2 linked regions of the Arabidopsis thaliana genome follow. The protein of the gene in region 1 purifies or fractionates together with the protein of each later gene. This does not show direct contact. Each region holds a gene or a part of one and is shown on either strand. Other genes may lie near its edges.

Region 1 (7,896 bases):
TTTAAAAACGATTGTAAATCATGTTTAACACTTTTAAAAGCTTTTAAAAGCTTTTAAAATCCCTTATAAATCATTCAATGCCACTTACTTATGCTTTAAAAACGATTGTAAACCATGCAGACACTTTTAAAATCCCTTGTAAATCATTATATGACACTTACTTATGCTTTAAAAACGATTGTAAATCATGTTTAACCCTTCTAAAAGCTTTTAAAATTCCTTGTAAATCATTCTATTCAACTTACTTATGCTTAAAAAACGATTGCTAATCATGTTTAACCCTTAGAAAAGGTTTTAAAATCCCTTGTAAATATTCTATGCCACTTACTTATGTTTTAAAATCGATTGTAAACTATGCAAACACTTCTAAAATCCCTTGTAAATCGTTTTAAGACACTTACTTATGCTTTTAAAATCCCTTGTAAACGTGTTTAACACTTCTTTAAGCTTTTAAAATCCCTTGTAAATTATTCTATGCTAGTTACTTATGCCTAAAAACGGTTGTAAACCATGCATACCCTTTTTAAAATCCCTTGTAAATCATTATATGCTACTAACTTATGCTTCTTAAACGATTGTTAATGAAGTAAACCCCTTTTAAAAGCTTTTAAAATCCCTTGTAAATTATCTATGACACTTACTTATGTTTTAAAAACGATTGTAAACTACGCAAACAGTTATGCAAATGCCTTGTAAATCATTCTACGACAGTTAATTAAGCTTTAAAAACGATTGTAAAACTTTATTACCTGTTGTGAGATAGAACTCTCTCAAGGAGAAACGGATAGGTTGAGAATCAACTCTAAACCAAAGAGTTGATCCTTTTGTTTTCACTCTCTGCTGCATGAGATAGTGAAAGATTTTTCCAGAAAATCTGATTCCCTTCTTAGCCTTCATTTTTGGTCCCAATTCAACTAGAGGACCAAGAAACGAACTTCTAATCTTCTGAAATAAATACTCGCCTAAAGCTTCCTCTACTTTACTAACTAAATTCCAATCCGAGTATTGTTGAACGGTTCCCAGTGTAATAGATTCCTCACCTTCTCTGTAGATTTGTTCAGGCAATGCAAGGATTTCACTCTCTGAATCCATCTGCAAAACATGTTATGAAACAGCGTCAGATCTACTATAAAATCGACTATAAAATCGACTATAAAATCGATTATAAAAACGGTTACCGTCGGATCTATCGATATCTCTGGGGATTGTTTGCGTCGTAGAGAAATGATCTGAATCCTTCAGCGAAGAACATGTTTATCGGAGAGGAAATTCGTCGGCGATTTTGGGGTTTCTCAGAGAGAAAATTCGTCGGCGATTGTGAGTGAAATCGGAGAGGAAATTCGTTGGCGATTTTGAGTGAAATCGGAGAGGAAATTCGTCGGCGATTTTGAGTGAAATCGGAGAGAAAATTCGCCGGCGATTTTGAGTGAAATCGGAGAGGAAAACGAAGAAGTTTGTGCCAAAACGAAGAAGTTTGTGAAACGAACGTGAAACCTAATCATTCAGAGGGTAAGACAGTCATTTGCCATATTAAAAGGGGCAGTTTTTAAAATGGCCTTCAGGAAAGGACATTTTTACAAAAGGTTATTAGAATAAGGATAGTTTTGCAAATCTCCCATCTCCCTTAAAAAAATAGTGCAATCTACATCTCAAATAAGATGATATATTATCCTTTAAAAAATAACATAAAATTACATAATTTCTCAAAAAGAAATAACTCCGAAAATTACACAAATATTTAGAGATATTATTAACTCTGATTTACTTTAATCGGCGCGTGATCGAGAAAGATCTTCTTTAACCTCTTTGCAACAAATCTACTCAAAACCCTAACCCCTTTTTCAAATTACTTCCATCTTTAGATCGAATCAAATCAATGTCCGTCGACGATCTCCCTCCGTCGTCGGCCTCCGCCGTAACGCCACTAGGCTCCTCCGTGATTCCGATTGTGAACAAGCTCCAAGACATATTCGCTCAGCTAGGAAGTCAATCGACGATCGCTCTTCCGCAAGTAGCTGTCGTCGGAAGTCAAAGCAGTGGCAAATCCAGCGTTCTAGAAGCTCTCGTCGGCCGTGACTTTCTTCCTCGTGGCAATGATATTTGCACGCGCCGACCTCTCCGTCTCCAGCTTGTTCAGACGAAACCTAGCTCTGATGGTGGATCCGATGAAGAGTGGGGCGAGTTTCTTCACCACGATCCTGTTAGACGTATCTACGATTTCTCTGAGATTCGCCGTGAGATTGAGGTTTGTTTATTCATTCTCTTCTTCTAAGTTCGTCATAGAATCTATTGATGATGATCGTCTAATTGTATGAATATGACAATTTGTTTGTAGGCGGAGACTAATAGAGTATCAGGAGAGAACAAAGGTGTATCAGATATTCCGATTGGTTTGAAGATATTTTCACCTAATGTTTTGGATATTAGTCTTGTGGATCTTCCTGGTATCACTAAGGTTCCTGTTGGTGATCAGCCAAGTGATATCGAAGCGCGTATAAGAACGATGATCTTGACTTACATTAAGGAACCTAGTTGCTTGATACTTGCTGTTAGCCCTGCTAATACTGATTTAGCAAATTCAGATGCATTACAAATCGCAGGAAATGCTGATCCTGATGGTGAGTCTTTGGAAGCAAGTCGATTGAGAATTTATCAGTTTCATTGGTATACTACATAGTGACATTTCGTTTTGCATATGAATTTGTTGTTCTCAGGTCATAGAACCATAGGTGTAATCACAAAGGTGCTATTTCTCTCCTCATAAGTTTGCTTTAGATTTAGCTGTGATGGCAAACTACTCTATTTCTCACGATTGCTCTATTTTCTCTCTGATTCAGTTGGATATTATGGACAGAGGTACTGATGCTCGGAATCACCTTCTGGGAAAAACAATTCCTCTTCGACTTGGATACGTGGGAGTTGTAAATCGTAGTCAAGAGGTAAACCCTGTTTTTCAAAAAATTTACGCATGTTTACTTATGATGTATATTGTTCTTGTCCTACCATTATGAGCTGTGACCACTTCTACTTTTGTGCTTGTGTGTCTTATTTCTTGCTATCACAATTTGTATCTCTATGACTCTTCTTTTCCCTTTGGATACTACCTGTAATATAGACCTTTTTTTTAGTGTTACCAAACCATTCTACTCTATATTCATTTTTCGTTTGCTCTTACTATGTGGCCACTGCCCTCTACGCAAGGCAATAACTAATGTGGGTGTTAATTCCTTAACAGGATATTTTGATGAACCGTAGCATCAAGGATGCTCTTGTTGCAGAGGAAAAGTTCTTTCGTAGTCGTCCAGTAAGACTGCATCATTCTCTCGATTTGTTTTCTGATAGCGTTTCCTTGACTCTTCTGCTTATATCTTCTGTTTTGGTTTGTTTTCTAATAAACAGGTTTACAGCGGTCTCACAGATCGTTTGGGTGTCCCTCAACTGGCAAAGAAATTAAATCAGGTATTATCTGCAGTCTTGAGATCGTCTAATTTCTTTGTTATGATTATCTTGTTATGCAGTCAAGACACGAGTGTCATAAGGAATACACTTTCTGGATTTTCCGATGTGTCTCTAATTGAGACAATAAATTGGCTTTTGTATGTAACATTCATGTTTCTTATTTCATTTAGCAGGAGGAGCTAGGATCTTTGTAGGACATTAGTGTGTATATATTTGAAAAACTCAGCGACATCTTCTCACTATTGTTGTTGATTCATATGGTGGATTCTTTTTCTGTGAATGGAGTAGTCCTTTTTCTAAAGATGGCATCTCATAAGTTTCATAGCTGGTAATATTATTACTAAAATTATGAGCTGTCTGATGGGAGCTAGTTCTTTTTCCCTTCTTTGCAGGTCCTTGTTCAACACATCAAGGCACTGCTTCCTAGTTTAAAGTCACGTATCAACAATGCATTGTTTGCTACAGCAAAGGAGTATGAGAGCTATGGGGATATAACAGAGTCTAGGGTATGTGGGTTTTGGCCAGTTTTAGCCTTATATATACCATCCATTCTCAATGATGGCATTGCTATTTGCTTTTTTTGCGTTGTATGATTTCTTGCTCAGTTTTCGTATTTGAATATAATTTTATTCATTTTTGTGATCCTCTTCTTGATATTCTTGGGAGCCTTTTCTGATTACTTTCAGTTAAACAAACTATCGGTAATTTATAGAGTTAGTGTTTGAAGATGTCAAGATATGTAGGGAAATATTTCTGACAAATTTTTTCTAAATATCTAGATATGCTCTTTCATTTCCGTATAAAATATGCCTACAACATGTGACTATTTAACTTACAGCTTACTCTGGTTTATAACTGTTTCGAAATTCATAGGGTGGTCAAGGAGCTCTTCTCCTCAGTTTTATTACAAAATACTGCGAAGGTAATATCTGAAGATGGTTCTGTTTCAGTTTAGACAATGGATGTTAGTTTATACTTTTTAGGTTGGTATTGGTCCTCACCATGGCTTAATTATTTATAACAGCATACTCCTCTACCCTGGAAGGGAAAAGTAAAGAAATGTCAACATCTGAGCTCTCGGGTGGAGCAAGAATTCTCTACATTTTCCAATCAGTATTTGTTAAGAGCTTAGAGGTTTGCTACATTTATAATTTTCCTTGATCTTCACTCAGTTATAACTGCCTTTTATTTTGTTTTTCCAAGTTTTGCATTACGTTATATCTTAGTTAGGTAATACTTTCATAATTTAATTTGGGATATCATTTGTGGTCTTCAATGGAGGTTCATTGTGTTGCTATTGATATAGAACCTATACACCTATGTGTTCTTCAATGGAGGAGATTCATTTTGTTGCTATTGATATAAAACCTATACTCGTATGAATGACTTTCTATTTATAAGATATTATTTGATTCGCTAAGCATTAGGCTATATCTTAGTTAGGTAATCACTGTGTGTAGATATCTTTGTTTAGTTAGTGGGGCTATTTGCACGGAAGGCAGACAGTTCGTTTCAGGTTTTCAGTTCTTGGAAGTGTGGCATGTTTGCAGTTCTTGTATGAGTAGAACTATGCTCAGTTGTAAATATAGTCAGTGTTTATATTAGTTCATATCCGTCCATCTTTCAAGCATCTGATCTGTATTACTCAAAATCGATCTGAATATTCTCTGTTGTATAGAGATCTTTACCTACTGATGTTGTCAGTGCTACTTGATAGGGGTTTAATGATTTTAAACTCATTAGTTTCTCTCAATTTGCTCTGAAGGAGGTTGATCCATGTGAAGACTTAACAGCTGATGATATTCGGACTGCAATACAAAATGCAACTGGTCCCAGATCTGCATTATTTGTTCCAGATGTAGGTTTATCTATATCCCTAAGCATGTGGGAGCATTTTTTTGCTTATCTGTTCTTTCCACATACTTATTTTGCTTGAGTTTTTTACTTTTACAGCAACTCTGATTAGTATCTCTTGCTTTCATTCTCATCTGCATAGGTTCCATTTGAAGTTCTTGTCAGGAGGCAAATATCTCGTTTATTAGATCCCAGCCTTCAGTGCGCTAGGTTCATCTTCGATGAGCTAGTAAAGGTGTTATTTTTATTTGCGTTTCTTTATGATGCTAACTGTTGATTTACATGACCATGAATTTTAAATTGAAAAATTATGTACAGATTAGTCATCAGTGTATGATGAAAGAGTTACAGCGGTTTCCAGTCCTGCAAAAGCGCATGGATGAGGTTATTGGGAACTTTCTGCGAGAAGGTCTTGAACCTTCGCAGGCAATGATCCGAGATCTTATTGAAATGGAGGTATGTATGGATAATTTAAGATCCACACAATCATGAATCTAATGGCCAGTATTATTAAATTTACTTAGATTGCGTACTGATTTTTTTTTTTGTCACACTGGTGGAGTAGGACCATGTTCTAAGTTCAAGAAAATTGATTACTCTCAATTTTATTGATTAGTGCCTCTTTTAAATTTAGTTTAAAATATTTAAGTTTACCATTTGCAGATGGATTATATAAACACCTCACACCCAAATTTTATCGGGGGAACTAAAGCCGTGGAGCAAGCAATGCAAACAGTCAAATCTTCTAGGATTCCGCATCCTGTTGCGCGGCCAAGGGTATGGAATAGTCTCAGCGAAATTAATATTTGCTTTATGTTTCTCTTTGCGAGTTGTGAAATTTTTCGTACATGTTCCCTTTGATGACAACTAGGATACTGTGGAGCCTGAGAGGACGGCTTCTTCCGGGAGTCAAATAAAAACCCGATCTTTTCTCGGCCGACAAGCTAATGGAATCATCACTGATCAGGCATGTCATGCGTTATGTTATGTATTTGACTCTGTTACATTGATCTCCTTACTATATTTGTAGTTGGCCCTGCTTCTGAAAGCCCATGAAGCGAGTACAGATATGCAGCTAGAGACTTCTTATAATATAATTACTTAACATTTTTTACAGGCAGTTCCAACTGCAGCAGATGCTGAAAGACCTGCACCAGCTGGTAATGGTCTTATCACATTTATTTTTCAGTCTTTCATGTATGCACAGATAAATGAACGTGTGGTTTTAAGATGATTTTGGACTGAAATGATAAAATTCTTTGTCTAAGATACGACTTACATATAAGCATACATGTCTGCTCTTAATTCAATGTTCTGTTTAGAATATGAATGTAGTATTCTTGACCGATTGTGAATTAATCAGGAAGCACAAGCTGGAGTGGTTTCTCATCAATTTTTCGGGGGAGTGATGGTCAGGCAGCTGCTAAAAACAACCTATTAAACAAACCATTCAGCGAAACTACTCAAGAAGTGTATCAGAACTTGTCAACAATCTATTTAAAGGAGGTTTGAATCTTGTGCCTTCTCAGGCTTTTCATATTGCCCAATACTGTCACTTTACTTACCTATTCATCTCATAATGTTTTGTTTTGAAGCCTCCAACTATTTTGAAGTCATCTGAAACTCATTCAGAACAGGAGTCAGTTGAGATTGAGATAACAAAGCTATTATTGAAATCCTACTATGACATTGTAAGGAAGAATGTCGAGGACTTGGTCCCAAAAGCAATCATGCATTTTCTGGTTAGTGTTCCACTCTTCTAGTCTTCTGATTGTCTAGCCAAACATCTTATGGTCATTGATGACACTTAGTGTGGGTCGATTCTTTGTGAGGGGACTAATAACTCTATTCCATATAATTGTGAATAAAACACAGGTAAATTACACGAAACGTGAGCTGCACAATGTTTTCATCGAGAAGCTTTACAGGTGATGAAAGAAACCATGTGCTTCCCATTTGATTTTGTGAATAGTCTTTTTTTTTATATGAACTAAATCTGGTGGATGGGACAGGGAGAACTTAATTGAAGAACTGTTGAAAGAGCCCGATGAGTTAGCGATAAAGAGGAAACGCACGCAAGAGACTCTTCGCATTCTTCAGCAGGCTAATCGGGTAAGTTGAAGGTTTATCTTGAAGAAATTGCAATTTAACTTGTTAAAATGTGTCTTTTTGATATGGTTTAAAACAGACGTTAGACGAGCTGCCGTTAGAAGCTGAATCGGTCGAGAGAGGTTACAAAATTGGTTCAGAAGCGAAACATGAGGAGTTACCGGGCACAAGAAGATCAAGGACAGAAACTAATGGGAACGGACGGCTTCATATGTAAATTCAAATTGTGATTGCACGCATGACTCATTCATTTGGTGATGGAAAAGATTTGTTTTCTTCCCTTTAAATCGGTTGTGCGTGGGGAAAGAAAGGTGTTCTTAGGTATAGTGAAACGTGATGATAAACAGAGGTTTTGTTGTGAGGGTATTATCAACCTACTGGAAAATGTGACTTAATATTTGTTTCTCAAAACCGAGAAGAATAATCAATTCCTAATTTTACTTTTCATAGCTTTATTTGTTACGAAAAACAAGA
Region 2 (4,084 bases), on another chromosome or scaffold:
TTCTAGAAGAGCATGGAACGTTCTAGAAGAAGAAATGGACATACCTTGTTTGACCGGAAAAGAGACATAGTCGATCAGAGGGAGAGAACATGAGGAGGGCAAGATCGATGTCACAAAGTGTTGACAATTCATAAGCCTTTTTTATTAAACCTTTTTTACGTTTTGAGAACGTAATTTGTCGGTTCGTGCTCTTCTCTATACGCTTTAACTCCAATTTAACCCGACCCATATCCGATGGTCACTGCAAAATAATCAAAACACAATCTATTATTAGTTGGCACGAGAGAAATTGATCGAATGCAAAATTGTATATTTAAGTAAATGAGTCGACGAAAGGAGAGTTTTTAGGTTTGTGTTAAGAGAGAGAGAGAGAGAGAGAGAGAGAGAGAGAGAGAGAGTTACAAATGGTGAGCGGATAGAATTTTTGATCTTAATTTAGACGAATCTGCCATATGGCTAGGTACATCCCTTACATTTATACTCATTTTATATAATATTTGTAAAAATGTAGTTTACTCTTATTATATAACCAAGTGTTGTTACTTAAAACTTTAACCCAAAAAAAAGATGTATTTTATTCAATGTTCATATTTAACATTATAGGTTTCTTGGCACTTGCCTAAAGGCTCATATATACGTGGGTGCGTATGCGTATGGATAATATATATAGTAAATACATCAAACACATATATATTTCCTAGTCTGCCTCTAATTTTTATATATAGCTTGTTCTAGCTAGTGTGATTTGTACATTGTATATACACTGTGTGTTTTCTCTTCTGTGAAATTAAAGACTCAAACCTTATGTGTTTTCTCTTTTTGTCAATAACATGTACATGTGTTTGAATTTATTGGTAACCCAACAAAACAAGCACAATCCATTACACATTATAATGGTGTGTATGAGATATTAGATGGTGTAAGAGAGACATGATGGGTATACATATAGCGAGTGAAGTTGAAGCTTATAACGAAGGTGCCTCTCGATGAAGGAGCTTCAAAAGGAAGCAAATTAGGTTAGGGCTCTATGGAATAATTCTTGATGTTACCATATATTTTATAGAAATATTGTACATGACGACCACCTGGTCTCAGTTTACGACACGTGGGGGATTTGTTTGTTTGTGTTGTCTCGGTCGTTGTTGTTACGTGCCGACAAGGGGAATGATATTAACATAGAGGGGGAAAAAAGAGAGAGATCTTCAATGTGAAGTTTGCTCTGTGTATATAAATATTTTTACATCTTTCGACTTATTCTATTAATTCTTCAAATCATAATAAAAATTAAACCACTTTTGATTACTTGTTTCTTAATTTCCAAGATAATTAATTATAATTTATCTATTAATATTTGTCTACCAAAATCTAACACTTAAAATTAGCAATTTATCTTAATTAAATAAATATTGTTAAACTTTGTCTTTTGTCACACTAGTCATAACTGAGATTGATCAGTTCGTTCCATTTCTATAGAATTCAACTTATACGTTGAATCCGATAGAAAGAAAATAGAAAAGTAATTTGAATTTTTTTTCATCCACAAACAAAACTTGTTGAAACTTGAAACATTGAATAATCTAATAAAAGTATAAAAAAAAATATAAAAAATATATGTTTACCAATTATCCAATTTATTTCTGCATATTTTGTAAATTAAAAAGTAATTCAAATACGTTTCATGTCGACAAAATGTTGAATGTACAAGTGGTTTATGCTAATTTAATCACTGTCAATTCACTGAAACGAATAAATCGAGTAATTACTTTTTTAATTGACAAATTACAAAACTATAGAAACATTAAGGGCATAATTGAAATTTCCAATAAATTGAAGAGCAAAAACCCTAGAAAATTGACACGGACTATAAAAAGGTGACGAAGCGGCGCTTTTTCGGTTTGGTCATCGTGCTCCTCTTCTCCTCCACCGCACAGATCCAAGACATTTTGATTACACTCCATCGCCGGCGAAAATGGTGACGGAAAAGAAAACGGTGCGCCTTATTCTCTCCCATCAAAGTTTTATCCCTTTTCCTCATCATCTAGATATCGTTTACGATCTCAATGTACTAATATGTTTCTGGGTTTATTGCTTAATTGCAGAAGAAGTCTCATGAGGGTATCAACAGTAGGTTGGCTCTTGTTATGAAGAGTGGTAAATACACTCTTGGTTACAAGTCTGTTCTCAAATCCCTCCGTGGCTCCAAAGGTAATTGCGTCGAACACTTGGTCTGCATACCTAAATGTTTTAGCTTTTTGTAGTTTGTTATTGATTCTGGTTTTTGCTTATGTTCACAGGGAAACTGATTCTAATCTCCACCAATTGCCCACCGTTGAGAAGATCAGAGATTGAGTACTACGCAATGCTCGCTAAAGTTGGTGTCCACCATTACAATGGAAGTAAGTTCCTTTCTTCTTTAGCTCGTCCAGTTTTTAAAGATTCATTGTTCTCTTGTTTTTGTGAAGGTTTTCATTGTGTATAATAACTGAGAATGTATAATCTTAAGTAGATGAAAGTGTTAAAATCTGCTTCTATAGACCATTAAACTGATGATGGAAGTATGATCTCAAGTCGAAGAAACTGTAATGTATATTGACGTGAAGTCTTGATCTTTCGCAAGTTCACGATCGGTTTGAACTGCTGTTGGTGTCTCTGTATGTGGTTATTGCAAATATTGACATGGTTCATAATACCAAAGATTGCTCTGTTGGTCTATGATTTCGCATTGTTAGATTTTGACTCTTAGACAAAACTTGATCTTGCTCGATGATAATACTCGAAGGAGCGTTTTAATACATTATCTTGATGATTTCATCAAAGAAAGTAGATGAATGTTTATTCTATTGAACATAGTTTCATGTTTCAACGCTCATTCATCGGTTATTCCTCTTGTATCTACCACTTTGGCTTAACTGTGTTTTTCTTCTCTCCTTGTTAATGGCTTTCAGATAACGTTGATTTGGGAACAGCTTGCGGAAAGTACTTCCGTGTTTCTTGTCTGAGCATTGTTGATCCTGGTAAAAGAGCTAGCTACTTGCTTATATATTGCTGCTGGTTCTTCATTGATAGATCTACTAATGATTTTGTCTTTCGACTTGTTTCAGGTGATTCTGACATTATCAAGTCAATTCCTGGTGACCAGTGATACAATTTTCAGATTTTATTTTTCCCAGACTTTTTACCCGTCTTTGTATTCGAGTCTCTCAAAATTTTATGAGCAATAGACATTGTGTTTCTTCTTTGTCAAGTTTTCTTATATTGAGGACCGGAAAAGAAATTTCTTTAAAAGCAGCTTACAACACAAGTTTACGCATTTTCTCATCATGGTTCTTGAAAATAAGCCAATAAGTTTGTTTGACAGGAAGGTCGCTTACTACTGAAAACGATCAAATACAAATTACTCCTTTTTCTAAACCTAATACTGGTTTGATTGTAGTCACAATCATGTTAGTTTGAATCTGGATAGTAACGTAGTAGAGACATGTGTGTCATGGTTTTATTATAGTATTTGATTAGTACGGATATGATCATCCAAAAAAGGGGCATGTGTCAAAATACACATCTGACAAAAATGGAGACAAATAAACCATTGTTTTTGTTCAGTTGTTGTTGTCAAGGTGTATAGTTATTCATTTGGTGAAACAAAGTTATTCTTGTTTTGGTCATTTTATCCATTTAACTAATGGATAGATATTCACATGTGTTTCTGTATTTCTTTCCTCTTTTTACGTATTTCTTTCTCTGTATACATCGTTTAGTTTCTCATAAAGAAAACTTCCAAAATGTAAGTAAAAGAATGGATGAATCTAACTCCTATTTAACTCAACCTCACTAACTCGATCTATAGACACAGAGAGAGCTTTCAAAATTTGGTAACATCGCTCTCAGTTCTCACTACCAAGAAAACTCGACCATCGTGATGTCATCTCTCTCCTACAACGGAGGCTACATTGGAAAAGAGAGCTGCTTCAACGCTTTCTCCGACAAGACCGGTGATGTCAAGTTGCCATGTGAGAGAAGAGAGGAGAAAAAGACAGTGGCGCGTGAGATAATGTCACCTCCAATGTTGCCGTCGCACGTGCCGTCG

Evidence for each region.
Region 2: the proteins of DRP3B (region 1) and AT1G77940 fractionate together in Arabidopsis thaliana (co-fractionation; one large-scale study listed by BioGRID). This does not show direct contact.

Annotation. Positions count from the first base shown.
Region 1 is NC_003071.7:5,953,996-5,961,891, reverse strand, and holds the start of DRP3B (dynamin related protein), read left to right. Parts: upstream 1-1,783; 5' UTR 1,784-1,876; coding exon 1,877-2,245; intron 2,246-2,335; coding exon 2,336-2,618; intron 2,619-2,714; coding exon 2,715-2,743; intron 2,744-2,837; coding exon 2,838-2,939; intron 2,940-3,235; coding exon 3,236-3,304; intron 3,305-3,399; coding exon 3,400-3,459; intron 3,460-3,851; coding exon 3,852-3,965; intron 3,966-4,332; coding exon 4,333-4,381; intron 4,382-4,483; coding exon 4,484-4,593; intron 4,594-4,902; coding exon 4,903-4,992; intron 4,993-5,224; coding exon of another isoform or gene 5,225-5,227; coding exon 5,228-5,317; intron 5,318-5,455; coding exon 5,456-5,548; intron 5,549-5,631; coding exon 5,632-5,769; intron 5,770-5,976; coding exon 5,977-6,090; intron 6,091-6,184; coding exon 6,185-6,280; coding exon of another isoform or gene 6,281-6,284; intron 6,285-6,430; coding exon 6,431-6,473; intron 6,474-6,676; coding exon 6,677-6,819; intron 6,820-6,908; coding exon 6,909-7,055; intron 7,056-7,188; and 7 more. UniProt on the Arabidopsis thaliana protein: Involved in the control of mitochondrial and peroxisomal division and morphology.
Region 2 is NC_003070.9:29,303,174-29,307,257, reverse strand, and holds AT1G77940 (Ribosomal protein L7Ae/L30e/S12e/Gadd45 family protein), read left to right. Parts: upstream 1-1,846; 5' UTR 1,847-1,969; coding exon 1,970-1,990; intron 1,991-2,099; coding exon 2,100-2,205; intron 2,206-2,294; coding exon 2,295-2,396; intron 2,397-2,945; coding exon 2,946-3,014; intron 3,015-3,101; coding exon 3,102-3,142; 3' UTR 3,143-3,394; downstream 3,395-4,084. Other genes in the region: AGL67 (AGAMOUS-like 67), read right to left, coding at 45-229; AT1G77932 (FANTASTIC four protein, putative (DUF3049)), read left to right, coding at 3,917-4,084.